Macaca mulatta: one gene and its partners. The protein of the gene in region 3 binds, or shares a complex with, the protein of the main gene of each other region. Links are inferred from orthologs where the notes say so. Each region holds a gene or a part of one and is shown on either strand. Other genes may lie near its edges. The genes, in order: CRIPT, RBM48, SNIP1, SF3B5, DHX16, SNRPF and RNF113A.

Region 1 (3,235 bases), on a different chromosome or scaffold from region 3:
AATCCCAGCTACTTGGGAGGCCGAGACAGGAGAATCGCTTGCACCTGGGAGGCAGAGGTTGCGGTGAGCCAAGATCACGCCATTGCCCTGTAGCCTGGGCGATAGAGTGAGATTCCATCTCCAAAAAAAAAAAAAAAAAAAAAAAAAGTGATATTCTCTATGGTTTGGAAAAATCTTTGTAAATGGGCTGTTATGCTATACCCAAGAGGAGACACTAGGTCTAGGACAGTGTTTCGTATCTGGTATATGAGGATCATTACAAAAACTCATTTTGTAGTTAGGGAAGCACAGTTAAAGCAGAGTATTATTGCCATTTTAGGGGGAAGTATTTCTTTTTTTCACTCCAGTTACTGTAAGATGGCATTTTTATATAGTAGAAGCCCTTTTATCTAAAAGGATTGAGTCAGTTAATTAAAAATGTCAGCTAATGTAAGCAGTCATTAAAAGATACACATACCTTATTTTAACTTAAAGCACATAACTGTAGATGTATTAATCATATGGTATTGAAACAAAGCCTTTTGAGCATAAATCAACTGATAAGTGCTCTACATGATTGTCGTCACAAAAATCACAATCAGAATATGTTCAGTATCTTTAAAGTGGAGCAAAAATTGATGCTTGAGGTATGGAGTCCTTTCCTAGTGATTTTCCCCCAGTTGTCAACAGTTGTCTTACCCATACCTAATTCAATAGCAATTCCGATTATTCCTGGTCGTCCTAAAGTAGTCACTTAGGTTTTATGGAATCAGTCACTCTTTTTGCACCGACATTTCATCAGTTTCCATAATATTTTTGTCACACAAATAGAATGACAGATACAATTGATACGAACACGTCAAGAATAAATTCTGTACAACTGACTATAAGTATATATCTCACATGGACGGAGCAGAGCAGAGATGTACAGGCATATCAGACAGTAGCCATCTGGAATAGGCTAAACCCATCAATTGTAGAGGTTGATGGAGGGATGAAGAGCATGGATTAATCCTGTGTGTTGCGTAAGTGGGGTTATTTAAGAGTGTGTTTCTAGTGTAATATACAATTTTCTCTCATTAAAAAAAATTTCTAGATTTGATCCATATGGAAAGAATAAGTTCTCCACTTGCAGAATTTGTAAAAGTTCTGTGCACCAACCAGGTTCTCATTACTGCCAGGGCTGTGCCTACAAAAAAGGTAAGTTTCTTTTAATACCTTTTTTCTATTCATAAAACCTACTTCATTTGCTGCTAATTTGGTTAACAGAAACGATGTAGCCTGTCATAAATTCTGTTAACCAAACACTCTTTATCCTAAGGCAAAATGGGACGTAAAACCTGTTTATAATTAAAAGTATATATATATATATATATTTTTTTTTTTCTCTTCTGATGCTGTTAAATTATATTTTAAGCTTCAGGATTGACTTAAACCAAACAGTTGGTATTATGATTTGATTGATCACGTATCTTCTTTTGTTTCAGGCATCTGTGCGATGTGTGGAAAAAAGGTTTTGGATACCAAAAACTACAAGCAAACATCTGTCTAGATGTATTGATGGAATTTCTGACTTTCTAAATGATTTTACTTTCTGCCTTGAATTTTCAAGGCATAGATGTCAACTTACAGAATAACGTGTTTTAAGACAATTACGTTTAAACCAGAGAATTTGATTGTTATTCATTTTGCTCTCATGCTCTAAACAGCAACAGTGTAACTAGTCTTTTGCCGTAAATGGTTTTTTCCTTATGAGCATTTTATTGAACTAAGTGGCAAATTCCATGAAAAATTTCTCAGTTCTGTATGCACTTTAAACATTATTCATGTAATTCTCCCCCACACACACTTTATTTATAGATACTGCAAAAGTGAGAAGGAGGTAATAGATATTTTGCTCTGAATTTGGCATCCAGAGTTAACAGTTCTCCCCTAACTCCCTTACTCGTGTCATAGTTATTAGGATCAGCAGCCTCTTAACTAATTGCAGTTTCATAGGATGTATAAATGTTTCAAGCCATTATTGCTGAATGGTTCTTTAGTTATTAACCTAGACCCAAATCAAAGACCAGTTTTTATTTGTTCTTGCCGCCAAAGTGCCAGTTCCTTTAATATGTGACCAGGAACACAAGGAATATCCATATATCCAAATAAACACACTGAATTTTAGAAAAACTTATTACTTTGAATTCAAATTGTCATGAAAACCAGAACAGTGTTTGTCCATGTTGCATGTAATGAACATAAATCCCTGCTCTTTGAGAAAAGCTCTTTGAAGCAAAAACCAAACTTTTTGTTTTTTTACCTCCTGTCTCCCTCCCTAAAAGAAATAAATAAAGCAAACATCTTGACTCTCCCTTTTTAAAATTTGTTTGTTTGTTTGTTTGTTTGATACAGGATCTCACTCTGTTGACCAGGCTGGAGTGCAGAGGTATCATCAAGCTCTCTGCAGCCTCCATCTGCTGGGCTCAAGCAATCCTTCCACCTTACCCTCCTAAGTAGCTGGGGGCTACAGGTGTGTGCCAGTGAGCTCAGCTAGTTTTTATTTTTAGTAGAGACGAGGACTCGCTATGTTGCCCAAGCTGTTCTCAAACTCCTGATCTCAAGCAATCCTCTGGCCTCAGCCTTCCAAAGTGCTGGGTTACAGGTGTGAGTCACAGCACTTGGCCTCTCTCTCTCTCTCTTTTTTTTTTTTTTATACTACAGGTTTCAAATGAGTACTTTTCTTATGTTGCCTTCAGAGGTTCAGGACTTCTGCTTTTAAAATCTGCAGGCTACCATGGGAGACCAAAAAAGCATTCCCCATTTCCAACTGCAGTATGTATAAATACGTATCACTATAAAATGTGTAGAATAGATAGTGTGATAAGATTTATGAATGGCATTTTTATTGGTCATAAAATTTTGATGAAAAGCATTTAAAGTTTTAACTTTATAAGGCTTTTCAAAATGTGTTTTTTTGAGATACCTTGTTATTCATATCCACAAAGATTATAAGGATAATGCAAAATATAATAATTCATCTGAGAGCAGGAAGTATCCTCTCATGCTTAATCAGTTTGATTAATTGATTATAATTTTAATTTTAATTAAAATTATAACACAGGGAACTCATAACAGGACCTGGTCAGAGAGTGTCCCAGAGCCATTAAAGATTGGATTTGTTGACTTGGAGAAAAGTACGTTTCTCAGGGATCGACTGGAATCTGGACTTGCCTAACTCACATTTCATTTATTTTTTAAATAATTTCCGTTT
Region 2 (4,570 bases), on a different chromosome or scaffold from region 3:
ATGAAACAGAAGCACTGGGACATTACATAACTTAGCCATGCTCATACTCTGGTTTGAGGAGCAAGGATTCAAATCCAGATGTCTTACTTCAGAGCCTACTAGACTAGGTACTTTGGAAAACAGAAAAGCTCGAGAAAATATTTCTCTAACCATGACAGCTGGCAGATTGGTTAAGAAAGTGAGATTACATATAACAGCAGCCTGAGAAAACCACACATGACCCAGTAAAATCAAGTGCTTTTGTGGTAGATTATGATTTCTACTGATAGCACATGAAAGAAAATATGAATTGTAACAGCCAGAGAAGGATGGGTCTCAGAGCAGATTAGTGAGGAGAACAGAGATCAACATAAAAATAGATAAGGCATTGCATACTTCAGCCTTTTTGGAGCAGAGGGTTTATGTCACATAGAAGGCCGGAAAACACTGAGTCAATTTGCAGAAAGGAGTAACAGTAGAAACCACAATAGCTAATGCTTACTGTATTCTGACCAGGAGGCACTCTGCTAAACCCTTTATATGGATTATCTCATTTCATCCTCATACAACCTCAAGAAGTAGATAGGTCCCTTTACCATATAGATTTTACGGAACAGGAAAAACTTAAACAGGTTAAATAACTTGTCCAAGATCACAAAGCTAGTAAGCAGTGGAAATGGAAAACTTACTCCAAACCCAACATTTTTTTTTCTTTTGAGACATAGTCTCACTCCATCACCCAAGATGGAGTGCAGTGGTCCATAAATGACTCACTGCAACCTCCACCTCCTGGGCTCAACTGATTCTCCCACCTCAGCCTCCCAAGTAGCTGGGACTACAGGAATGCACTACCACGCCCACCTTGATTTTTGTATTTTTAGCAGAGGTGAGGTTTTGCCATGTTGGCCAGTCGGGTCTCGAACTCCTGGGCTCAAGCTGTCTGCCCACCTTGGCCTTCCATAGTGCTGGGATCAAATTCAACTTTTTTTTCTTTTCTTTTCTTTTTTTCTGGGACAGTCTCACTCTTTCCAGGCTGGAGTGCAATGGCATGATCTTGGCTCACTGCAACCTCTACTTTCTGGGTTCAAGTGATCCTTGTGCCTCAGCCTCCCCAGGAGCTGGGATTAAAGGCTTGCACCAACACAGCTAATTTTTGTATTTAGTAGAGTCAGGGTTTCACCATGTTGGCCAGACTGGTCTTGAACTCCTGACCTCAGGTGATCCGCCTACCTCCACCTCCCAAACTGCTGGGATTACAGGTGTGAGCCACATGCCTGGCGCCAAACCCAAATTTTTTCTGTTTTTTTTTTTTTTTTTTGAGACAGAGCCTCGCTCTGTCATCCAGGCTGGAGTGCAGTGGTGTGATTTCTGCTCACTGCAATCTCCACCTCCCGGGTTCAAGCGATTCCCATGCCTCAGCCACCTGAGTAGCTGGGACTACGGGTCTGCACCACCACACCCAGCTAATTTTTGTATTTTTAGTAGAGCCGGGGTTTCCATCATGTTGGCCAGGCTGGTCTTGAACCCCTGACCTCAAGTGATCTGCCTGCCTCGGTCTCCCAAAGTACTCTGATTACAGGCGTGAGGCGTGAGTTATTGGCGCCCAGCCCTCAAACCCATTTTTTTTTTCTTTGAGGCGGAGATCCCCTCTTGTTGCCCTGGCTGGAGTGCAATGGCGCAATCTCGGCTCACTGCAACCTCTGCCTCCTGGGTTCAAGCAATTCTCCTGCCTCAGCCTCCTGAGTAGCTGGGATTACAGGTATGCGCCACTAGACCCGGCTAATTTTGTATTTTTAGTAGAGACGGGGTTTCACCATGTTGGCCAGGCTGGTCTCAAACTCCTCACCTCGTGATCCGCCTGCCTCGGCCTCCCAGAGTGCTGTGATTGCAGGCGTAAGCCACCGTGCCTGGCCAAACCCAACTTTTACTCTACCACGCTACAGGACATTAAATTGTTAAGCATGGGATGTGATGGATACAGTGTTTCAGTAAAGTTAACCTGTAAAAAGGCTGTAGGAAGATATGCTAGATTACATTTTGGGGTAATTCAGATATGAATGAGGGAAACTTGGGGCCAAAATGACAGAAATATGAATGGAGGAAATGAAACGAGTCATTGCTTAACTTGCACCTTACCTTGCACTTTGTAAGTTCATAAATTTAATAAGATAAACTTCAGTAAAGTCTTCTGCTGGGTATTCATCTAGCGCATTGTACTGTTCAATTGCACCATATAAAGCGAATCGCTCAACTAATTCCTTCATGACTCCCACAGCAGGAACTCCTTGTATTAATAAGTACTGAGATTCCAAATTGATTGTATATACCTGAAAGAAATGCATAGTTATTAAACGTATTTCGCAAATAAGCCTAGGACGAATCTGCCTCTATTTTTTTTTTTAAACAGAACTTTGAAAACAAGAAATAATCTGTTCAACCCAGTCAGCAAAAAACACAAAATAAAATTTCTGCCATTCCCTCTGCATAAAGAGTAACAGTCCATGTGAGAGGCTACCTAAGGCATATAACAGACTACCTTCAGTCGACATTTTTTTCCAGAAATTGAGTCGGCAGAAGTCACTGGGAACAATCACTCAACGAATATTCACTGAGCGCTTACCTGTGCCAAGTAGTACTGTAAACACTGAAGATCCAATGACTAAAACCAAGCCCTATTCTCGTGGAGTTGATGTTCTAATAGTTGACCAAAAGGGTCGTGAGAATCTTTGGTACCTGGCCCAGGGTTCTTCACGCCAGCTCTAATGAGCGACAGATCTGACGGAAGCCTTGTCGTGCCTTTATTTCCGTAGGTTAGCCATATGGCGCTAGCGCTCACAAAAAGCTACCGAGGAGAGCGAATGAAACCAAAAATCACTTTACCTTGACAGCACGAGGCCGTCGTCCCTCCCGATATTTGGCCCGCGTGTCGCACACCGCCCTCTGGACGTGGTGGTCAAATAAACTCCCTAACTCCCCACCGCTGGACGCCATCTTGCCTACTTTGATCCTCGCAGGGAGGACAACATCCGCCCTGCTGACCTCCCTTTTATCCAATAAGAGAGCGGGATGAGTTAAGGAGTGTCAGGATTGGCTGAAGAATCGACAGCGTCGGCCATCGTTTCCTGCGTGCGAGGATTTGATGAACGAGGTGCCGCCCCCGAGCGGCTTGGCGGAGAGGCGCGGTGGGTGACAGAAGCTTTCTTGTCCCACCCCACTACAGGCTTACGGCGAGACGCGCAGCGGGGAGAGGGGGCGGGGCCTCAGGGGGCGGGGCCGATCGATCTCCTCCGGTTCCGACGTCCTCGGCCTGCCAGGTCCCGTGTCCTTTGCGGCGCTAGGGTGGGCAAACCCAGAGCGACGCTTCGGGACGATGTGGGGCAGCGATCGCCTGGCGGGTGCTGGGGGAGGCGGGGCGGCAGTGACTGTGGCCTTCACCAACGCTCGCGACTGCTTCCTCCACCTGCCGCGGGGTCTCGTGGCCCAGCTGCACCTGCTGCAGGTAACGTGCTGGCCCCGGGCCACCTGATCTTCAGCCTGGGGTCGGACAAGGCCGAAGCCTCTCAGGGACGCGGCGGGACACCGGCTGCCACCCGGGCGCCCCCGAAGCGTACAGAGATTAGGGTCCCTCGACGGCAGGGCCCTTCTGGTTAGTCTCTGCATCCCGCAAGTCCAGTGCAGCCCTGGGCTCGTCTTATCCCAGGTCTTTTCACTTGGTGAAACTGGGCCTAGAAATGTCCTAATATTCTACCACTGTTTTTATAAATATTCCTCATTCCAGGCTGGAAAAGTTCCTGATAAGTGGTTTGTTTTTGTTATTTTAAAAGGTGCTTTTCTTGCCAGTCATTTCCAGTTACCTGCGCTGCTGCCGTCCGGGCCGCGAGAGGGAGGCGCAGAGTTGTTGGTGGAGCCCCTGTCGGTCCCCGGGGACTGAGCACCGCGTCCCATGAGCGGGAAAGCTTAATACAGTAATGGTTCTGCCCTGCGTCCCAGACCCTCGGAACACAGCTGTAGTGTGTCAGGAACACATAACGTAGTTAAGATCACTTGAAGCTCTGCGATCAGTCGCCCTTCTGGACGTTGTGGTTGGGATGTTTCGCAGTTCTAACCACCGGTGGAGATACAGCGTCCTTATTTTCGTAATTAAAAATAGAGGCACATGGTCTCACGAGTTTGAGTGTGGTTATGGGGGCAAAAGGACGGCGTATTTGAAATCTTCATAAATCCTGGATGCATGGTACCCACCAGTGGCTAATCTATGTAATGAATAAAGAGTTTGCAATAATTTCAAGCATCCCTTCTTTCCACTTGAGTTACTTCTCCATACCTAGGGGAAGATTTTTTTGGTCCATTGAAAACATGAGTTCAGCAGAATCCTCCTATCATCGTCGTTATTATTTTTTACTACTAAGTAGACAATCTTGGTTTTTGATGGGCTTTATGGTTAGAGACAAATCAGTCACTGTCACCAAGTTCCAGGTAGAAGTTGGTTCAGTGCTCTGTCAGCTTCGATGGGATTTTTCAACATGTTTTCAAATCCACTCATGATAGTAGGAATGCTTTCTTACAGTAACTCTAATTTGATCCTAAGATG
Region 3 (4,137 bases):
AGAACCTGCCACATCAGTGACAGTTTATTTCTCAAAGAAAAAAAAAGGAGATAACATTTGAATAAAAATGCAAAACTGAAGTACAGTTAATATGATCCAAACTGTTGTGTACATGCTCCATGGAGAAATCAGGAATTCTTTCAGAAAGAACAGATCCACGGCCAATTTCAGTCACTTGTGATGCTGAATCAGCACCCACTGGTAGCAACCAGGATCCTTCTGTACAGTCACGGGCTTGAGCAGGTGCCATAAAGCATCTGTTTAAGTTAAACAGTCAATAACGTTTACTGACTGCAGTACATTCCCACCCCCAAAAGACTAAGTGCAAAATCAACTTCTAAGCTCAAGAGCTCAACCAGGTCAAAGCTTTGGTATATACTGGAGGTTGTTTTGGTGATAACCAAAGCCTAGTAAGATTCTCTGCTCAGGGGTTCACCCCAAAAGAAAAACACCTGGTCCACAAAGCTTAATACCTATATAAATAAAGTTAACTGTACAAAGAGAACAAGCCATGATTTACCCTTAACCAAGGGTTTATAGTTTCCTAGGCAGCAGTTCTGAAAGCACCAACTAAAACCACAACGCTTCTACTAAAACACGGTGTGTTGTAATTGGTGAGACTGTTCCGAAAACAAATGCCTGCAGGCATGTGGCCAAGGTGCCACAGAAAAAGTTTAACAAACATTAGTCAGTGTATTCAAATGGTAACACAATCTGGTCAGCAACAGGGGAAAGACTTAAGGCAGTAAGAGGCATTACAGAGAGCATGATAGTGTTGGACCCACCACCATAGTGCTCTCTGAGTCAATCAAAGCCTTCCAACAAGGAAAACGTGTCTCAATAGTTTGGGTTCTTAGTTTGTTAGCTGTCAGATACTTCCTCCTCCTCCTCCTCATCCTCATCATCTTTCCTGTCTATTTCCGAAGTGTCCGACGACTCATGGAGCAAGACATATTCTCTGCTACTGAATCCAAATTTGAGTACATCCTTTTCTTTTAGTTCATAGTATCTCTGTGGCTCAATACGTTTGTTGTTTAAGAAGGTTCCATTGCCTGAGCCAAGGTCAATGATGTAGGGCTTCACTCTTCGGCCAACCGTGCCATCAGCACGGGTATATTCCACAAGCCTAGCAGAGAAAAAGGAGAAACCTATGAGCAAACTTCTGCCTCAGATCATCCATCCTCTCTGAAGCTCTTTGCTAAGACAGCCTAGATGATGTAAATAACCTGACTTGAGCATAATTCAAGTTAAAATTCTAGGGAATCAAAGAAATCAAGGGGAAAGCATGGCCCTGGGAAGGGAAATTGGAAGTTTAAATATATTTAGTAGAAAAGGTGAGAATGGGTTACTGGAGGGTGGGGAGAATCCATGGAAGATCAAAAGGTGGAAATGCAGAATCCAAAGTCTCTTGCTGTGGTTAAGAAAATACATTTTTTTCTGTTGTTTATAATCAATGTTTCTTTAACCTATATTTCAATATATTTCAGTTCCTGTCCAAATGGGAAAAAACAGTGGACCTGGACTTCAGAGTCAAGGGAGCTATATTTGAGCCAGAGTTCTACTATGGCAGGAGTCCCCAGCTCCTGGACCATGGACTGGTACTAGTCCGTGGCCTGTTAGGAACCAGGCCGCACAGCAAGAGGTGAGCAGTGGGCAGACAGGCAAGCAAGCCAAACTTCATCTGTATTTTCAGCTGCTCCCCATCACTCGTATTATTATTGCCTGAGCTCCGCCTCCTGTCAGATCAGCGGTGCCATTAGTCTCATAGGAGCGTGAACCCTATTGTGAACTGTGCACAAGTGGGATCTAGGTTGCGTGCTCCTTAGGAGAATCTAATGCCTGATCTGTCGCTGTCTCCCATCACCCCCAGATGAGACCATCGAGTTGCAGGAAAACAAGCTCAGGGCTTCCACTGATTCTAGATTATGGTGAGTTGTATAATTATTACATTATATATTACAATGAGATAATATTAGAAAATAGGCCGGGCGCGGTGGCTCACGCCTGTAATCCCAGCACTTTGGGAGGCCGAGGCGGGCGGATCACAAGGTCAGGAGATCGAGACCACGGTGAAACCCCGTCTCTACTAAAAATACAAAAAATTAGCCGGGCGCGGTTGTGGGCGCCTGTAGTCCCAGCTACTCGGGAGGCTGAGGCAGGAGAATGGCGTGAACCCGGGAGGCGGAGCTTGCAGTGAGCCGAGATCGCGCCACTGCACTCCAGCCTGGGCGACAGAGCGAGACTCCGTCTCAAAAAAAAAAAAAAAAAAAAAAAAAGAAAATAAAGTGCACAATAAATGTAATGCACTTGAATCCTGAAACCATGTCCCTGGTTCCATGGAAAAACTGTCTTCCATGAAACCGGTCCTTGGTGCCAAAAAGGCTGGGGACCACTGTACTATAGTGATCATTTGTTAGGCAAGTCACTTGGTTTTGCTGGGCTTCAGTTTTCTCATCTGTCAAATGGGGATATAAATACTTGTCCATTCAAAGTCAGGAGACCATGTTAAAACAAAACAAAACAACAACCAACAACAACAACAAAAAATGGGCCAGGCGCAGTGGCTCACACCTATAATCTCAGCAATTTGGAAGGCCGAGGCGGGTGGATCACGAGGTCAGGAGTTCGACACCAGACTGACCAATACAATGAAACCCTGTCTCTACTAAAAATACAAAAATTCCCTGGGTGTGGCAGCGTGCGCCTGTATTCCTAGCTGCTCGGTAGCCTGAGGCAGGCGAATCGCTTGAACGCAGGAGGCAGAGGTTGCAGTGAGCTGAGATCACGCCACTGCACTCCAGCCTGGGCACAGAAGGAGACTCCGTCTCACAAAAACAAAAAACCAAAAACCGGTCCTATCCTTCTCACAGGATTGTTGTGAGAATCATCACAGATGTCCCACGCAAGCTATCAAGAACCAGTTTCAAAATTAGTAGAGCACAGAGGCACATGCCTATGGTCCCAGTTACTCAGGAGGCCAAGGTGGGAGACAATCATTTGAGCCCAAGAGGTTGCTGGAGTGAGCTGTCTTTGCTCCACTGCACTCTAGACTGGGTGACCGAGTGAGACCTTGTCACAAAAAAACAAAAAATAGATTAAAAGTATAATGTTCTTATAAATATGTAAACAATTATTTAAAGGGAAGTTAGATTAACAATACTCTTTAGATATGAGGGGTATGGGATTCTTCTGTATATGTATGAACAAAAATCTTAGTAATCCTAACTAACTGAGCAATTGTTTCTGCTCACATTAGAGTTTCTTCCTCCATGTTACTTACCGATATTGAAAGACCGCATGCTGCTTTGAACAAGATGGGTGATCGATAGGAATGTCTGCAATGCGGCGGTGTCGACCCAGTAGATACGCACTCTGTCGATGTATGTACATGACTGGAAGCACCTCATCATTTTTAAATGGGTAGAGACGCCACCGTTTTTTTGGAATACGTGCTTCTGGGGGCTCACTATATTTAATGACTACACCCCGGAAAGTGTTGGTGTCCTCAAGAAGTGCCCCAGAAAGTTCATAGCTTGGTTTTTCTTTAGCAGGCACCTCTTTTTCTTTGTTGTTGCCACCAGGCCGAGGAACCAACTCCTGAGACTCACTACCGCCACCACCAATGTCATTCCTCTGGCGATGCTCCCGTCGCCTGGCATTATAAAACTCCCGCTCTTCTTCCTGAGCCTGCAGGTTCTGAGTGTCTCGCTCCCGTCCCTGACCCTGCCCACTCCCAGGTCTCTCGTTAGACGTTCTCCTTTGGTGGGAATGGCCCCGGTGTCTGTACCGGTCACTTTTCCTAGCTCTCCTGTGTTCCTGTTCTGATGGTTCCCTGTGCTGCCGATCCTCCCGTCCTCTCCGGGGATGATCCTCACGCTCCTGAAATTCAAACAGATTCTGTAATTTTAACACAGTGCACAATCTAAAGACAGCCCAAATCTTGTTCTTTTTGAATGAGGTATATTCAAAAGGTCTTTTGTAATTTGGAGTTTGGCATTTAGAACAACATTTCCCACAGAAATAAGATTATGTCTGGTGGTTATGTTCCCTTGCAAGGCCACAAAAATGATATCCCATGCTGCTATTCAACCATAGCCCTAATAGCACAAGCCCAGGTCCAGAGCCCTAAAAACAAGA
Region 4 (3,324 bases), on a different chromosome or scaffold from region 3:
CTTCCAATGGCTCCTCAGAGGTTCATATATTGTCCTACAAGGCTCTACTCGTTTCCCCCTCCATTACCTGTCCCTCTACTTTTCCCCTGGCTCACCCCCTCCAGCCATGCTTGCCTCTTTGCAGGTCCTCCAATAAACCATACATACTCCCAGTGTTAGTACCATTGCACTGGCAGTTCCCTCTTCATGGAAAGCAATTTCTCCAGTTTTCCGCATGGCTATTTCCCTCATTTCCCTAAAGTCTTTGCTCAAATGTCACCATCTCAGTAACTTGTGTATCATATTTAAGATTATGGCCCTACCAACTACTCCCACCCACACCACGTACATTGTTCTCCCCTCCCCGCAGCATCTTCTAACATTTACTTATTACGTCTACAGTGTTTGACCTCCTTTCTCCACCACCAGCATAATGTAAGCCTCAAGAACATGGGAAAATGCCTGTCACATAGAGCTCAACAAATATTTGTTGAATATAGAAAGGATGAACTCACTTGCCAGCTTGTCATTTCTGGAGACATGGCCACAAATTCCCAAGAAAAAGAAAGGATGCATTTTAAAGAGGCTAAGGAGGACAATGACAGCAAAGACTGCAAAGACTTTTAAAACGGGAGAAAAAGAAAATGGGATACAATAACTACAAACTTCAATACTGAAGGCATTGTGGGCCTGAAAATAACGCTCTTGGGAGAAGTGGCAGTCGGGGAATTAATTATAATGGTAGACAGGGTGGATTTAAGTACCTGATCATGGACACTGGCATGCACTCCCTCCCCCGACCCATTTCCCGCTCGGGTCTTTCAGGAGCCCTCCACCCTAACACAGGAAGTTCACACCAAGAGACTTAATGATTTCTAAACTTTATGGAAAAAGCCAATGACAATCAATTAGCCAAAAATGAGACGCCAAATCCCATCTCATTCCAGCGCCACGCCCTCTTCTCAAACGCTTGCCGGCTCTAGGCCCTCTTCACCAGCACAGTTCTCAGGAGTTCTGCTGGTCTCCCAGTGCTATTCCAAAGGGTTCACATGAAGGCAGGTCAGGCGGGATTCCCCGGGCAAGCACTTCTGTACGCGGAAGTACCAGACGCAGGAGCCATGGAGAGCCGGTCCTTTGGAGGCAGAAATAGTCGAAGGGATTGGCCAACCTGAGGAACACTGGGAGAGGTGCCCCGCACAGTGGTGGTAAGGCAGAGTCTCAGTTCTCCTCGGGCTTGTCGGCTGGCGGTCCACAAGGCTGAAGCATCTTCTCCATCAAATTGAAGCGGACTCGCGCTTTGCTCTCATTCTCTGCAATGGCGAAGTAGTTGAGAAGGTCGAAGTGGCCCATGTAGGAGCAGTACGAGTCGCGGTGTTGGTTCACCAGCCACTCCCACTTGGTGGTGTCGGCGTGGCCCGTGCCGATGTACTTGGACTGCAGGTGCTCCAGCTGGCTGTGGATGGTGTAGCGGTCCGTCATCTCGCCGCTTTCCCCTTAGTTCCCAGGACAGAGGACGCAGACAACAAACCGCCGCTCTGGCGTTTCACGCGGGAGTGAGGCCACCGTGCGGAAGCTCCAGGCCCGCGCCGTCGCAGAAGAATGGCGTCACGACGACTAAGTAGCGTAAGTCTCGCTCATAGGGCTCAAAGGCGGAAGCGGAAGCACATTCTGTCACGGAATTGGAGTTGCCGAGGCGACGCCACAAGTGTGTCGCCCCTGTAGAGAGCCCCGCCCCGTCAGAGAGCGTTGCATGATGGTCCACTTGGTGGCTATGGGAAGCCCTTTTCCAACAGGGAGCCTTGCATGCTGGGACTTGTGGTCTTGGGAGTTCGTGCTCGTAGTCTTCTGGAACTCCTGGTCTCGTTTTGTTGTTTGAGACAGAGACTCGCACTGTTGCCGGGACTGCAGTGTAATGGCGCGATCTCGATTCACTGCAACTTAACGCCTCCTGGGTTCACGCGATTCTCCTGCCTCAGCCTCTCCAGTAGCTGGGATTACAGGCGCACACCACCACGCCAGGCCAATTTTTTTTTTTTTTTTTTTTTTTGTATTTTTAGTAGAGATGGGGTTTCACTGTCTTTGCCTGGCTGATCTCGAACTCCTGATTTCGTGATCCTCCCTCCTCGGTCTTCCAAAATTCTGGGATTACAGGCGTGAGCCACTGCGCCAGGCCCCTGGTCGCGTTTTAAAAGTGATCTGGGGACCTAGTGGAGGGTGATGTCTGGGAGGTGGGGAGCATCCGTGGGTGGCTTGGGGCTGATGGGAAATGGGAAACCCAAGTAGGACTGGACTACAAGCAGCCCCGAAAATAAACTCTCCGTGTTTTCCAAAGCTATCATGGTAGCACAGCCATCCCTTCACAACCAGGGATGGATTACCCAGAAGTCGGCAGGCACAAGTTCTGGTCCCAGCTATGTCTTTTAGGAGTCTGTGGCATAAAAGAGTTATTTCAGCTCTAACCAGGGTGCTTGGTGAGCAAGTACAGCACCAATTCCCACACATTCCGGCTTCCACCTCAAGCTCCTCCTTCCCCTCTAGCCACTTATTTTGATATCCTTCCTCCAAGGCCTCACTGCACCCTACTTGGCCCTTCCATTCAGTGGGTTTTGTGGATTCAACCGACCCGATTGAAAATATTTGGGGAAAAAGTCAGTCTGTACTGAAGTGTAGACTTTTTAAGGTTATTATTCCCTAAACAATACAGTATAACAACTATTTACATAGCATTTACATTGTATTAGGTATTGTTAAATAATCTGGAGACAAACTATACAGGAGAATGTGCATATGTGCAAATACAAGCCATTTTATATCAGGGACTTGAGCATCCTCTAGTTTTGGTATCCATGGGAGTCCTGGAACAAATCACTCACGGATACTGAGGGACAACTGTACTTCTCCGTGTTACCTGTTGTGCCCGTCCCCATTTTCTTGTACAAGCTGTTCCCTCTACGTGGAATGTCTGTTCCCTTGGTGAATACATCTCCCAAAAAGGCAGCTCAAATGCATCTCCTTAGAGTTTTCTCTGGCTGCTCCAGACAGATGTAAACTCTCCTTCCTCTTTGTAGGTTATACATCTCTTCCTTGTTATCGCTTTATATCCTACTGTTTGGTTTAATAACTTCCTTACATGGGTAGAAGCTACTTGAAAAAAAAAATCCAAAACAAAAATTTGATAAATGGTTAAATAACTCTATTACAACGGAAGGGAAGGAAAACTTTACTAGGAGAGAGATAACTTGAAAATTATTTTATTCTGCTGTTTAAACTTTGTTGGGTCAGGTTCCAAGATGGCCGAATAGGAACAGCTCCAGGCTACAGCTCCCAGTGTGAGTGACACAGAAG
Region 5 (4,137 bases), on a different chromosome or scaffold from region 3:
GTGATCTGCCCACCTCGGCCTCCCAAAGTGCTGGGATTATAGGTGTGAGCCACTGCACCTGGCCGACCTCAGCCATTTCTCTTAAAGGTCCATATCAAATCCCACCTCCTGGCACATCAAGGACTTCCCTTCTCCACTGAATCTACTGTGCTTACTTTCCAGATCACATATTTGGCTCTCTCTTGGTTCACACCATATTTCTCCTCCCTTCAGTCCCAGGGACAAAGGACTGACTGCTCCTCAGCTGTGTGCAGCAGTGCCCAGGGCTCACCTTGCATGGGGCAGGCACACAGCTTTTTCACTACTAGTTGTGGGAAGCACAGGGGTGAAGAGTGTGGGTTTCTCCAACCGACCTTTCGTGCCCCAGGTGGCGTGGGCTGGAAGATGCGGGCCTGCATGTCAGAGGGCAGGTTGGCATAAATGGGCAGCACCAGGAGCTCCCGGATTTTGGAGCCCAGGCGGCGGCAGCGATCCTGGAGCATCTCACAGGCAGCCTCAATCTCCTCCTGGATAGAGGGCGGGGAGAGCAGCAGGGATCCCAGAGTCACAGAAGGCCAACATGCCGGCCCCGTCTTCCCCTGAGATACACCCTCCCCTCTCCCAACCATGTCAGGCACCTGTCCTGTCAGGAACACCAGGATATCCCCAGGGGGCTGGGTCACGTGGATCTGCAACACAGATACAACACAAGCTTCCAAGTAGTCAGCCTCTGGAGCCTGGAGAGCAGAAAGAGATGGGGTCACAGGAGGGCCACCTGCTTAGGCAAACCTTTCCTCTCCTCCCAGTTCAACATATACTTTATCCTAGTTCCCCTTTGGACCTTCCACTCCATCTTTCCCTCCTTGGGATAACTTTCTCCAAAGGCCTCAGCTTTTCTGCCACAGACTTAAGCCCATCCTCCCTGAGGTAGCACCTTGGTGTAGAAGATGTCCACAGGAAACCTGCGTCCGGGGATTCGAAACACAGGGGCGTCATCAAAGAAGGTGGAGAAACGGGCAGTGTCCAGTGTGGCTGAAGCCACCAGGACCTTGAGCTCAGGTCGGAAGCGAGCAACATCCTTGATCAATCCAAAGAGAATGTCTGTGTGTAGGGTCCGTTCGTGAGCCTCATCCACCATCACCACACTGGGGAGGGAATAGGGCAGCAATGAGGGAGGAGCGCTGGGCAATGCAGTATCAGACACCAGGGTTCCCTGGACGAGAGGGGAGTGATGGACACAAAGAGCTCAAGAATGACTGTTGACGGAGGGGGCTCTAAGGAGAACTCAGCCATCCCAGTTATGTAAGACCAACAGAAAGTCAGAGACGGCCAGGGACCCATGATCTGCAACCTATCCCAGCCTCAGCAGACAATAGAAGCCAAGATGTAGAGGCTGCACTGAGGCCAGGACAAGTCAGACATACTCTCTAGTTCAGTCAAGAGTCTGCTTAGACTCAGTAGCTGCTCTTACTAGAAAAAGTTGAACGAGGCTGGGCGCGGTGGCTCAAGCCTGTAATCCCAGCACTTTGGGAGGCTGAGACGGGTGGATCACGAGGTCAGGAGATCGAGACCATCCTGGCTAATACGGTGAAACCCCGTCTCTACTAAAAATACAAAAAACTAGCTGGGCGAGGTGGCGGGCACCTGTAGTCCCAGCTACTCGGGAGGCTGAGGCAGGAGAATGGCGTAAACCCGGGAAGCGGAGCTTGCAGTGAGCTGAGATCCGGCCACTGCACTCCAGCCTGGGCGACAGAGCGAGACTCCGTCTCAAAAAAAAAAAAAAAAAAAAGAAAAAGAAAAAAAAGAAAAAGAAAAAAAAAAAAAAAGAAAAAGTTGAAGGATATGCTTTAGGCTGGGCACGGTGGCTCACACCTGTAATCCCAGCACTTTGGGAGGCCAAGGCAGGCAGATCACGAGGTCAGGAGTTTGAGATCAGCCTGGCCAATATGGCGAAACCCTGTCTCTTCTAAAAATACAAAAAAAAATTAGCCAGGTGTGGTGGCGCACACCTATAGTCCCAGCTACTCAGGAGGCTGAGGCAGGAGAATCGCTTGAACCCGGGAGGCAGAGGTTGCAGTGAGCCAAGATTGAGCCACTGCACTCCAGCCTGGGTGACAGAGCGACACTCTATGTAAAAAAGAGGCCAGGTGCGGTGGTTCACGCCTGTAATCCCAGCACTTCGGGAGGCCGAGAAGGGTGGATCACGAGGTCAGGATATTGAGACCATCCTGGCCAACACGGTGAAACCCCGTCTCTACTTAAAAAAAAAAAAATTAGCCGGGCGTGGTGGCGGGCGCCTGTAGTTCCAGCTGCTTGGGAGGCTGAGGCAGAAGAATGGCATGAACCTGGGAGGTGGAGCTTGCAGTGAGCCGAGATTATACCACTGCACTCCAGTCTGGGTGACACAGCGAGACCTGCCAAGAAGGATTCTTCTTTTGCAGAGAGGAGCAAGTTAAGCCTTTCTACCCCAACTCTCAGAGGACTCTGCATGCTCCCTGGTTTCCTCCTAACTCAGTTATGTGCATGACACCTTCTTTCTCTTTGCTTTATTTTTTGGCTTTTCTGGGTGGCAGCCAAGTCCCAGGAACTCATCCTCATCTTCCCCTACCCACCTCTCTGACCTCAACTCTTTGTCCCTAACCCTAACTGTGATGGTGAAGCCCCCAGTCATTCCACAAAGCAGGCTGGCTCGATGGGCAAAAATATCTGCATCAGGCCCTCTTGCACTGGCTGGCTCCCCATGGGTTCTCAGAGATTTTTTGCAAGGGATATGAAGGATAAAATCCTATCTGTCCAATCACTCCACTGTGATCTTCCAGGGCCAGAAATTCACAGCCTCTGAAGAGTCAAAAGGGCACATATTGTTCAGCTGGCCTGACCCCAACCCCAGCACATTCATGAATCCCTTTTCCCCCTCAACACATGTTCAACCAACCTCTGCTTGGCCATTTCCAGCACTAAGAGCTCATTATTCACAGACCAAGCTACCCAAGACTTGTGTGGAGGGCCAAGATCCAGAGTCCAACCACTGTGACAGGCCCTGCAATCTCCAACACTCTGAGGGTTACTCAGCCGTCGGTATTGAGTTGGAATCTGTCTCCCTGTAACCTCCCCATGGCTCCTAGCTATATCCTGTAGGGTTACATAAACCAAGTCTCATCCTTCTTTCCATGTCACAGCCTTCACATATTTAGAGGGAACCAGGATGCCTCTCCTGCTTCTCCCTCTGAGCTGAGCATTCCAGGTGTTTTCAAATGGTCTCCACATGGCATTTCAAGCCTCCGCAGCAATGCTATGCTATCCTGGTTGTTTCCTAACCCTGGAGATGAATGGGGAAAGAAGAAGAGGCTTTCTCTACAATCTCTTCTATCCTCCAGCCCCATCTCAGTGGTACCTGGAGGTCAGTTCAAGGACCGTTTGAACCATAACGATATAAGAACTGGTGGATTAATCAGAAGACAATGGCTGAATTGGCTGGGTGGCAAGAAATGAGAGAAAAGCCAGAGATTAGAGATCCAGGAGAGAACTGAGTGGGAGGGAGGCGGCAGCACAGGGGGAAGAGAATGTGGGCAGCTCTCTCATGGGAGATGAGGGCCCTGTATGTACCTGTAACTCGCAAGGTCAGGCTCAGAGAGGAACTCCCGGAGAAGCATCCCATCTGTCATGTAGCGGAGGACAGTTCGCTCTGACGTGCAGTCCTCAAAGCGGATGCTGTAGCCAACCTGGTCAAGGGAAATCATTAGCAACCAAGTGTTGGATGGTGTGCCCTGAAAGGAACCTGGGGAAAGGTGAAGTGGGGCAGCACCAAGACTTCTGCCGTAGGGACCTGAGGGCAGTGTAGACTGAGTCACAGACCCCAGTCTCTACCCCCCAGTTCCCTAGAAATCTCACCTCATTCCCAAGCTTCACACCCATCTCCCGGGCCACTCGGGCGGCTACACTCATGGCGGCCACTCTCCGGGGTTGGGTGCAGGCAATCTTCATACCCTTCTTTGTATAACCCTGAATGACAAGGAAGAAAGAAGAGGTTTACCCTTTGCTAAATATGCCCCCTGAGACCAGGTACAATTCAGAGAAAGAAGTTGTAAAAGCCAGACAGGAGAAAAGGAGGAAAAGACAGATGCTGAATACCAGAAAAGAAGGGCAAATAGATAGGAT
Region 6 (4,161 bases), on a different chromosome or scaffold from region 3:
TTAAAAATGGTTAGAGTGGCAAAATTGTAATGTATATTTTACCACAATAAAAAGAAAATTAATTACAAAAAAAACCCCACCAAAACACATGGCTGAATCATTTACAGAAACTCATTTGACAGACATACAGTCAGTTCAATTTCTTCGGCAGATGTGTCTTTCCCCTGAAGGAATGAATTTCCTCAATAACTTTGGTGTTGTGCCTTTAGCATCATTCATTAAAAGACTCATGAATTTCACTTGAAAACTTTCTTTCAGGGCTAAATGATGAGAAATGTTTTGTTTTCTCCAGCAAAGTAGTGTGTTTCCCTTACAGTATTATTATGAATTAAATGTCTGAGCTCTTCTTACTTTAACTACTAGGAATAAAATCTGTGGCTGAATTCTGGTTTAAGTCCATGTCTTGTACCTAGTATATCATAGTATCCTCCCTGGCTTTGACTTTATTTTTTAATTTTGCCGTACATTTGTCAATTTAATTGTATGTATTCTTATTAGTCAGACTAAACCTTTGAGCAATAAGGTGAAGCAAACTAAATGCAATGTTATGACCTTTACAGCTCTTTAGCTTACCTGCATGTTCATGTAGCCATCTACAGATACCAGATAGCCCTTGTACTCCATTCCCCACTTAAGTTTCACCATCACTGGCTTTCCTGTTAGTCCATTGAGGAAAGGTTTGGGATTGAGGGGTAAACTCTGCACAAAGAACAAAAAAGGATCCAATTAATTATTTTTCCTCCCACCACCAACTCTCTTCTACTAAATACCAATATTTTGTGGTATGCAAATGAAGAAAACTCTTGACTCATTATTTTAGTACACAATTTTCACTTTCATTTATTGGAGAGTACCAGGGAAATTTAAATATCCAGTTAGCCAGTATCACCTTTAACCCATCAAAACAAAATACTCACTATTCACTTAAGATAACACCGACTACATACATCACTTACTGTTCTGAGCTCTAAAGAAACAAAGATAAAGGCACTTAAAAAAAAAAAAAATGCGGGCCAGAAAGGGTGGCTCATATCTGTAATTCCAGCATTCTGGAAGGCCAAGGCAGGGGGATCACTTGAGGCCAGAATTTCAAGACCAGCCCAGGCAACATAGTGAGACCACCTTCTCTACCAAAAATAGTCAGATGTGGTGGTGCACACCTGTAGTCCCGGCTACTAGGGAACAGAGCAAGACCTTGTCATAAATAAATAACAGAGTCCCTGTCAAGAAGTTGGAGATGGGGAGGGGGGCTCCTCACATACAAATAATTATACTGCATATTGCAACATAATAAGAGGAGATATACTAGGCACAAGGGTACCGAAGCAATCCAGGGAAAAAAGGAAAGGTTGCCTGAAATAAGTTAACCTCAGTTTTAAAGAATGAGAATTTATTTCCAGAGCGGGAAAAAATCCTGTTCCAGGCAAGGCTAGCTACTTATGTAAAAGGAGGGAAGAGTGAAGCAACAAGGTGATTTTGGGGACATACAATTCAGCATTGTCAGTCAAAGTCCCAAATATAAGACTACAGAAGGAAGCAGAGGGCAGATGACGCTTGACAGTCTTTAACTGTGGAAGCTAGGGCTAGGTCCTAAATGACTTTGTCACTAGCACTGCCTCTTATAGCAATCACTTAAAGTTTGCTCAGCAAACCATTAACATCTCCAGTGAATTCGGTTTTTGCCTTTTTCTGCTCACTCACCAGTCAAAGAAAGAACAGAACTAAGAAACTTGGCTACTAACCCCCTCTAACATAAACATATTCGGAGTGACTTGATGCGGCGATTACTCCAATAACCTAATGGGTCTCCAGTTTTCATTCTCCAATTTATTATCCACCACAGCAACATGATTTTTTAAAGTGCACATCAAATTGTCATATTTCTGCTTAAAATGATTCAATGGCTTCCAACTCAATCATTTTCAATTGATTTGGAGTACAATCAAAACCTCCCAATACAGCCTAAGAGGTCCTGTCCAACGCCTGCTCCTCCGACACCATCTCGTAACCACTCTTCCTGCAAGTGGCTGTACCTTTTTGTCAATTTCTCCAACTGACCAAGCTTTCTTTCCGGCCGCAGGTCTTATGCGCCTATTCTCTGTGCTCGGTACACTCCTCCTCCTGCTCTTTAAAGGGTCTATTTCATGACACTTAGGCTTCAGGTTAAATTCCACCTCCTAGGGAGGCCATCTCTGACTAAGCCTCTAAATGTCTAACGCGCACCCTCACAGCCTCCTGTCTGCATTCTTCTTAGCACTTATTACTTGCAATTGCATATTTGTTATTTTTTGACTGTCTGTCTTCCCCAACCGAGTTAAACTAGAGCATGGCCGTATCATTACTTTCATGCAATGAAAGTGAATTTTGGAGTGTGGTTAAGTGGGAAGTGCAAATTCTCTTTGAGTTTTACCCCGACCCTGTAGCCACAAATAAGAATATCCCAAGCCCGGATTCAAACAAAGAGGAGAAGGCACGGGCACTCCTAGAAAAAGAAAGGCATCGGGAGGAGCACGCGCCTCAGAAATCCTAAAAGCAGAGTGAAAGAAGCTGGCGACCGGGTGCGCGGCGCCTCACGCGGATGAATGGGAAACGCGCGAAGCAACCACTAGGCCCCGCGAGGTGGTCTCCCTCCTTCTCTTTCTCCCCGCTTCTCCCGCCGTTCTCGTTCTCCTTACCATCGTAACCACGGCCGAATATTGCAGGCTACTCACTGCCGACCAGGCTGCCGCTTGTCCCTCGTGACTACAGCAGGTACCCCAGGTCCCGAGCCGCTGAATTTCAAGAAAAATGGCCGCCAAACAGGAGTGTGACCTTTCACCTCCCACCACGGCCCTTCCTGCCTCTGTGATTGGACGAAAAGAGATGCGCGCTGATTGGAGGAGATGGTTGGACCAGTATCTCCTGGCAACCAGCAGCGGCTTGAGTTTGCGCCTGGCCGGCTGCGCGCGGGTCTTGGGAAACCCGCTCTGAGGAGCAAGGTGAGGCAGCCAAGGACTGGAGGCAGGCCGGTGTTGTAAATGTGCGGTCTGGGAGAGGCTGTGTGACGGATGTGACTTCTCCCCAACTTGGTTAATGGGGATTTTACTTTGTCTTTTTACACCCGTGAGAATGTTCAGGATCCCAGAGTTCCTTCCTCACTCTTCCAACAGGTTCCATGATTTGGGGGCGCCTCTGCCGCAGGCCGTTTCTACCTGAGTATTCTCTCTTCTGCAACACCCATTTCAACCCCTTTTAAAGGAATTCGGGGGTAGCCAGACAAGACTAGGGGCGGTGAAACGCACCGAAGGGAGTCGGATACAGAATTTATTTTAAACGAGGTCAGGTTGTGTCTGGGATACGGTGTCATGTCCCCCCACCCCCCACGACCCCGCCGGCCCCATCTTTCTTTTGCATCGCCAGCAGAGACTGGCACGGCCTTCTTACGTGCATTTGAAATTACCTAAGGGCGTAAGCAATATTTCCGCTGTCACGGATTAAAACTTTCGACGTAACGGTGTTATCTGAATCTCACTGGTTTTTGTCGTAATCCTAGTGAGTTCGGCTCACTCTGATCTGAAATGCTAAATGCAGTTCTTGGAGAACACGCCCTTTGGGAAGTAACGCTTTTTTGCGGCCCTGAAGAGATGGATTTGAGGTTGAGGATGAAATGTTGGTTGTTGAGGCACTGTGGAGCAGTGGGCAAGACTTTGGAGAGGGCCTGCATTCGGAACCTGCGTCTATCAGGCGCAGCCGGTGTTGGGCAGTGTCTTAACCCTCAGGGCCACTGTTTCCACGGCAGGAACGCGGCTTTAAAAACGGAACCATCCTCAGCGTGGTTGCGAGAATTTAACCTAAAACGGGGCTTGGCCTTGTAAAAGCTCAGTGTTTCACATAAGTGTTGAACACTGACAAGACAGTCATTGTCAGTGTAGTTTTTACCAAACAGTTATTAGATTTATTCACCCTAAACTTAAGTGGATTTCTTCCTTAGTTTGTATATTGTTTCATGAACTTTAAGTCTTTGTACAGACTTTGAGTTCCTACTATGTGTCAGGCTCTTTCAACAATTGTGGAAATCTTACCTTACCGTCTGATTCGGGGTGACAGCCCCGTTTTAGAGATGAGGAAGCAGGCCCAGCAGGTAACTGTTACCAGTTGAGGGTAGCTGTCCGAGTTCTTGCC
Region 7 (3,757 bases), on a different chromosome or scaffold from region 3:
AATACTATGTTTTTGCCCTTTGCAGGTTCACAAGTTCAGTCTACAATAGCAATGTCCAATACAGTGGTCAGCCACATTTCAAGTACTCAACAGTCACATGAGGCTAGTGTCTATCACACTTGGATAGCTAAGCACAGATACTTTTATCATCCATGGAAGAGGGGGTTAACTATAGCTGCTTCCAAGACAGCAAGGGAGCCGGGTACGGTGGCTCACGCCTGTGATCCCAGCACTTTGGGAGGCCTAGGTGGGCGGATGCCGAGGTGGGCGGATCACGAGTTCAGGCGATGGAGACCATCCTGGCTAATATGGTGAAACCCCGTCTCTACTAAAAATACAAAAAATTAGCTGGGCGTGGTGGCAAGCGCCTGTAGTCTCAGCTACGCGGGAGGCTGAGGCAGGGGAATCGCTTGAACCCGGGAGGCGGAGGTTGCAGTGAGCTGAGATAGCGCCATTGCACTCCAGCCTGGACAACAGAGCGAGACTCCGTCTCAAAAATAAATAAATAAATAAATAAATAAATAAATAACCCAGACAGCAAGGAACATTTCCCATATGTGAAGCCTGTGGTACTAGCTACCAATTCCCCAAACGCAACCCCTCTCCCCAACACCTTGGCTCCGGTATATTTTGTAGTACAGGCTCCCAAGAGAAAGAATGCATGAAAGTACTTTGTAAACCATTAAGTGATACAGAAATGTGATATGATAAACAGGCTCAGAGTTCTTACTTTCGTCATAGCTTTGGCTACTTCAAGCAAATTATAGCTCTTTTCTCAAACTACTCCCACCCCTATAATTGATGCCAAAATGTTCTGAAAAGAAACACAGGCAAAATGGTTATCCTAGGGCTAAAAATCCTGATTATACCTACCTTGAGGTTTTTAATCCAGGACCCTACTTCACCACCCGCCTTCTCTGTCACTGTCTCTACAAAGGAAGGACACGAATTAAGACTTCCAAAAGAACAAAATATTTATTTTTTAAATTTAAGAATTATCAGACAGCTAAGTAACGGGAATTGGATCCTCATCGGGGTCTTCTGGCAAGTCGGAAGCACCACCACCCTCTCCTGTAGCTCGATGCTTCTCTAGTTTAGCAATCAATTCTTTCGCTGGATTGAAGACGCCATTGGTCTGCTGGTCACAGACATAGCAGCGCGGGGTGGTGCGGAAATGCTGCAGTGCACAGCTCTCGCAGAAATAATGCCTGCACTTGGTGACAACTGGGTTTTGGAAGCTCTGGCGACAGATGAAACACTTGAATGGTATTTCCTCATCATCGCTTCCCACTTCATAGTTTTCATCCTCATAGACACCATAGCGACCCTCATCAAGCTCACGTTCGATCTGCCACCCATGCTTGTAATCTGAACGGTCATGGAGGAATTTGCAGCTGTCTCCGAAGCCGCAGAAGCCAGTCTCTTTGTAGTCCTTACAGATGTCGGGCTGGTAATCCCAGCGCACCGTGGCACGTAGATGCTCGGGCGCTCGGATGGGGCCCTTCCTCACCATCCCGGAAGAGGCATTGCCCATAGACGTATCCTTGGGCTTCATGTATTTCTGATAATTGTTGATTCCCCGATAGATCTTGTCATCCTCCTTGCCCCTCAGCTCCTCCTGGATCTTCTGGCTGCGCTCAAAGATGGCTTGTGCATCGCGCTCTTTCTCTGTGTCCAGCTCATAGACAGCTGTCGCCCCCATATCCTCTGGTCCCACGGGTTTCGCCGAGCGGGTGGATTTATAAACCACGCCGAGACTCTCGGGCTCATTTTCCTCCTCCTCCTCGCTGCTCAAGTCGCCGTAAGCTGCCTTCTGTTTACCACTGTCACGAGTCTTCTGTATCATTGGATTGTGAGTCGCCCGCTTCTTTTCCGGTCGAACCACAGTGCAGCCTTCGTCGCTACTGCTGCCGCTGTCTCCGGGCTCTGGGTCGCAGGCCGGGCGCTTTCTGCGTCCAGCAGCCCCTTTCCGCCCAGGCTTTTTGAAAAGGAAGGTGCACACCTGATCCGCCGTCTTCCCTGGAGAAAACTGCTCTGCCATTTTAGAGTCCCGAGCTCCGAAACGGCCGTCGCTGCCTGGGTTGCACTTGGCCTCTGCGCGTTACTCCACGTCGCGCGCTCCGCCGGGAGTCGAAGCAAAAGACACTGACGGAAGAGAACTGCGAGAGCGCGAGCGCCAGCCTCTCTTGAGCCCTGGCAGATCCCGTCGCTTCCTCCGGAGCCGTACGTGGCACCGCCCCGCTCGCGGGCGGCCGCGGGGCTTACTGGGAAGGGAGCCGAAGCCCGGTCACCTTTCAAGGACCCAGAAGTAGGGTTTTGGCCTAGATAACGGGGCAGAGATGTGGTTCGAGATTCTCCCCGGACTCGCCGCCATGGGCGTGTGCTTGTTTATTCCAGGACTGGCTACTGCGTACATCCAGAGGTTCACTAACGGGGGCAAGGTAAGGCGGCTTCCTGGGCCCGGGGGCTGACTCCACTGGCTGATTTCTGAAAAGGATGGTGGGCAGAGAGTCCGTCAGCCTGCGGACCCTCTCTCCGAGGCCGGCCCTCTATTTTCTTCCGGTTGCCTAGAAGCCGAGGCTTGCGAAACGAAGCGCGGTAGAAACCACATCCTGCTCTGGTGAAAAACAGCGTTTCTGGGTGTATCAAAGTGGGCCTTAGGGCAGAGTAGCGACGCGGGGGCCGGAAAGGTAGATTAGAAGAGGTGGCTCAAGCCTGAGAATCCCTCACTGCAACCTCCGCCTTCCGGGTTCAAGAGATTCTCCTGGCTGGGCGCGGTGGCTCACGCCTGTAATCCCAGCACTTTGGGAGACCGAGGCGGGCGGATCACCTGAGGTCGGGAGTTCGATACCAGCCTGACCAACATGGGGAAACCCCATCTCTACTAAAAATACAAAATTAGTGGAGCGTGGTGGCGCATGCCTGTGATCCCAGCTACTCGGGAGGCTGAGGCAGGAGAATCGCTTGAACCCAGGAGGCGGAGGTTGCAGTGAGCCGAGATCGCGACACTGCACTCCAGCCTGGGCAACAAGGGCGAAACTCCGTCTCAAAAAAAAAAAAAAAAAAAAAAAAAGATTTTCCTGCCTCACCCTCCTGAGTAGCCGGGACCACGCCCGGCTATTTATTTATTTATTTTGGTAGAGACGGGGTTTCATCATGTTGGCGAGGCTGGTCCCGAACTTCTGACCTCAGGTGATCCACCCGCCTTGACCTCCCAAAGTGCTGGGATTACAGGCGTGAGCCGCCGCTCCCGGCCACCCTTGACTTTTTTATTCCCCACTTTCTCTTGCAAGCGTTTAGGAATTTACTGCAAGGTCTTGTGTTTTACATCAGGATTCATTTTCCCCTCTTAGCCCTTCACATCATCTCTAGAGTACAGAGTATAAATTTATTTACTTTTTGAATTTGTGATTGTCCACGTGTGATCTACAGCTGTTGTTTCTTAGTGTCCCAAAAGGCAACAACTAGATATTTCTTTTTTTTTTCTTTTTTTTAAAAAGGAAAAGAAATTCATGTTGGTTAAAATAGTGTAAGAAGTCACGGTCACCAACTTAATCCTAAAGTGTAGTGGTCTGATTTTATTTAGGAGATTCTGTTCTTGTACTACTAATTTGCATTTTTATTTGAATGATGATTCCATTTCTCTAGAATGTCCCTTCTAAAAATTGTAATATCCATCAACTGGGTCACTCACTTTTATAAACTGCAACAATAATTGTCTCTTATTTGAAGGAAAAAAGGATTGCTCATTTTGGGT

The links.
Region 1: SNIP1 (region 3) and CRIPT share a complex: the UniProt entries of both Homo sapiens proteins name them as parts of the minor spliceosome. The link is inferred for Macaca mulatta from reciprocal best matches to the Homo sapiens genes SNIP1 and CRIPT.
Region 2: SNIP1 (region 3) and RBM48 share a complex: the UniProt entries of both Homo sapiens proteins name them as parts of the minor spliceosome. The link is inferred for Macaca mulatta from reciprocal best matches to the Homo sapiens genes SNIP1 and RBM48.
Region 4: SNIP1 (region 3) and SF3B5 share a complex: the UniProt entries of both Homo sapiens proteins name them as parts of the minor spliceosome. The link is inferred for Macaca mulatta from reciprocal best matches to the Homo sapiens genes SNIP1 and SF3B5.
Region 5: SNIP1 (region 3) and DHX16 share a complex: the UniProt entries of both Homo sapiens proteins name them as parts of the minor spliceosome. The link is inferred for Macaca mulatta from reciprocal best matches to the Homo sapiens genes SNIP1 and DHX16.
Region 6: SNIP1 (region 3) and SNRPF share a complex: the UniProt entries of both Homo sapiens proteins name them as parts of the minor spliceosome. The link is inferred for Macaca mulatta from reciprocal best matches to the Homo sapiens genes SNIP1 and SNRPF.
Region 7: SNIP1 (region 3) and RNF113A share a complex: the UniProt entries of both Homo sapiens proteins name them as parts of the minor spliceosome. The link is inferred for Macaca mulatta from reciprocal best matches to the Homo sapiens genes SNIP1 and RNF113A.

Annotation. Positions count from the first base shown.
Region 1 is NC_133418.1:78,210,740-78,213,974, reverse strand, and holds the end of CRIPT (cysteine-rich PDZ-binding protein), read left to right. Parts: intron 1-1,075; coding exon 1,076-1,179; intron 1,180-1,466; coding exon 1,467-1,531; 3' UTR 1,532-2,346; downstream 2,347-3,235. UniProt on the Homo sapiens protein: As a component of the minor spliceosome, involved in the splicing of U12-type introns in pre-mRNAs. Involved in the cytoskeletal anchoring of DLG4 in excitatory synapses.
Region 2 is NC_133408.1:126,862,644-126,867,213, forward strand, and holds the start of RBM48 (RNA-binding protein 48), read right to left. Parts: upstream 3,001-4,570; 5' UTR 2,971-3,000; coding exon 2,860-2,970; intron 2,307-2,859; coding exon 2,116-2,306; intron 1-2,115. Other genes in the region: peroxisomal ATPase PEX1, read left to right, coding at 3,350-3,478. UniProt on the Homo sapiens protein: As a component of the minor spliceosome, involved in the splicing of U12-type introns in pre-mRNAs.
Region 3 is NC_133406.1:203,257,698-203,261,834, reverse strand, and holds part of SNIP1 (smad nuclear-interacting protein 1), read right to left. Parts: intron 3,880-4,137; coding exon 3,281-3,879; intron 1,127-3,280; coding exon 862-1,126; 3' UTR 1-861. UniProt on the Homo sapiens protein: Required for pre-mRNA splicing as component of the spliceosome. As a component of the minor spliceosome, involved in the splicing of U12-type introns in pre-mRNAs. Down-regulates NF-kappa-B signaling by competing with RELA for CREBBP/EP300 binding.
Region 4 is NC_133409.1:49,347,878-49,351,201, forward strand, and holds SF3B5 (splicing factor 3B subunit 5), read right to left. Parts: upstream 1,560-3,324; 5' UTR 1,459-1,559; coding exon 1,198-1,458; 3' UTR 867-1,197; downstream 1-866. UniProt on the Homo sapiens protein: Component of the 17S U2 SnRNP complex of the spliceosome, a large ribonucleoprotein complex that removes introns from transcribed pre-mRNAs.
Region 5 is NC_133409.1:152,384,384-152,388,520, reverse strand, and holds part of DHX16 (pre-mRNA-splicing factor ATP-dependent RNA helicase DHX16), read right to left. Parts: intron 3,982-4,137; coding exon 3,871-3,981; intron 3,702-3,870; coding exon 3,586-3,701; intron 1,125-3,585; coding exon 914-1,124; intron 717-913; coding exon 618-716; intron 507-617; coding exon 354-506; intron 1-353. UniProt on the Homo sapiens protein: Required for pre-mRNA splicing as a component of the spliceosome. Contributes to pre-mRNA splicing after spliceosome formation and prior to the first transesterification reaction.
Region 6 is NC_133416.1:103,187,198-103,191,358, reverse strand, and holds the start of SNRPF (small nuclear ribonucleoprotein F), read right to left. Parts: upstream 2,801-4,161; 5' UTR 2,679-2,800; coding exon 2,676-2,678; intron 700-2,675; coding exon 574-699; intron 1-573. UniProt on the Homo sapiens protein: Plays a role in pre-mRNA splicing as a core component of the spliceosomal U1, U2, U4 and U5 small nuclear ribonucleoproteins (snRNPs), the building blocks of the spliceosome.
Region 7 is NC_133426.1:126,364,400-126,368,156, forward strand, and holds RNF113A (E3 ubiquitin-protein ligase RNF113A), read right to left. Parts: upstream 2,257-3,757; 5' UTR 2,042-2,256; coding exon 1,007-2,041; 3' UTR 900-1,006; downstream 1-899. UniProt on the Homo sapiens protein: Required for pre-mRNA splicing as component of the spliceosome. As a component of the minor spliceosome, involved in the splicing of U12-type introns in pre-mRNAs. E3 ubiquitin-protein ligase that catalyzes the transfer of ubiquitin onto target proteins.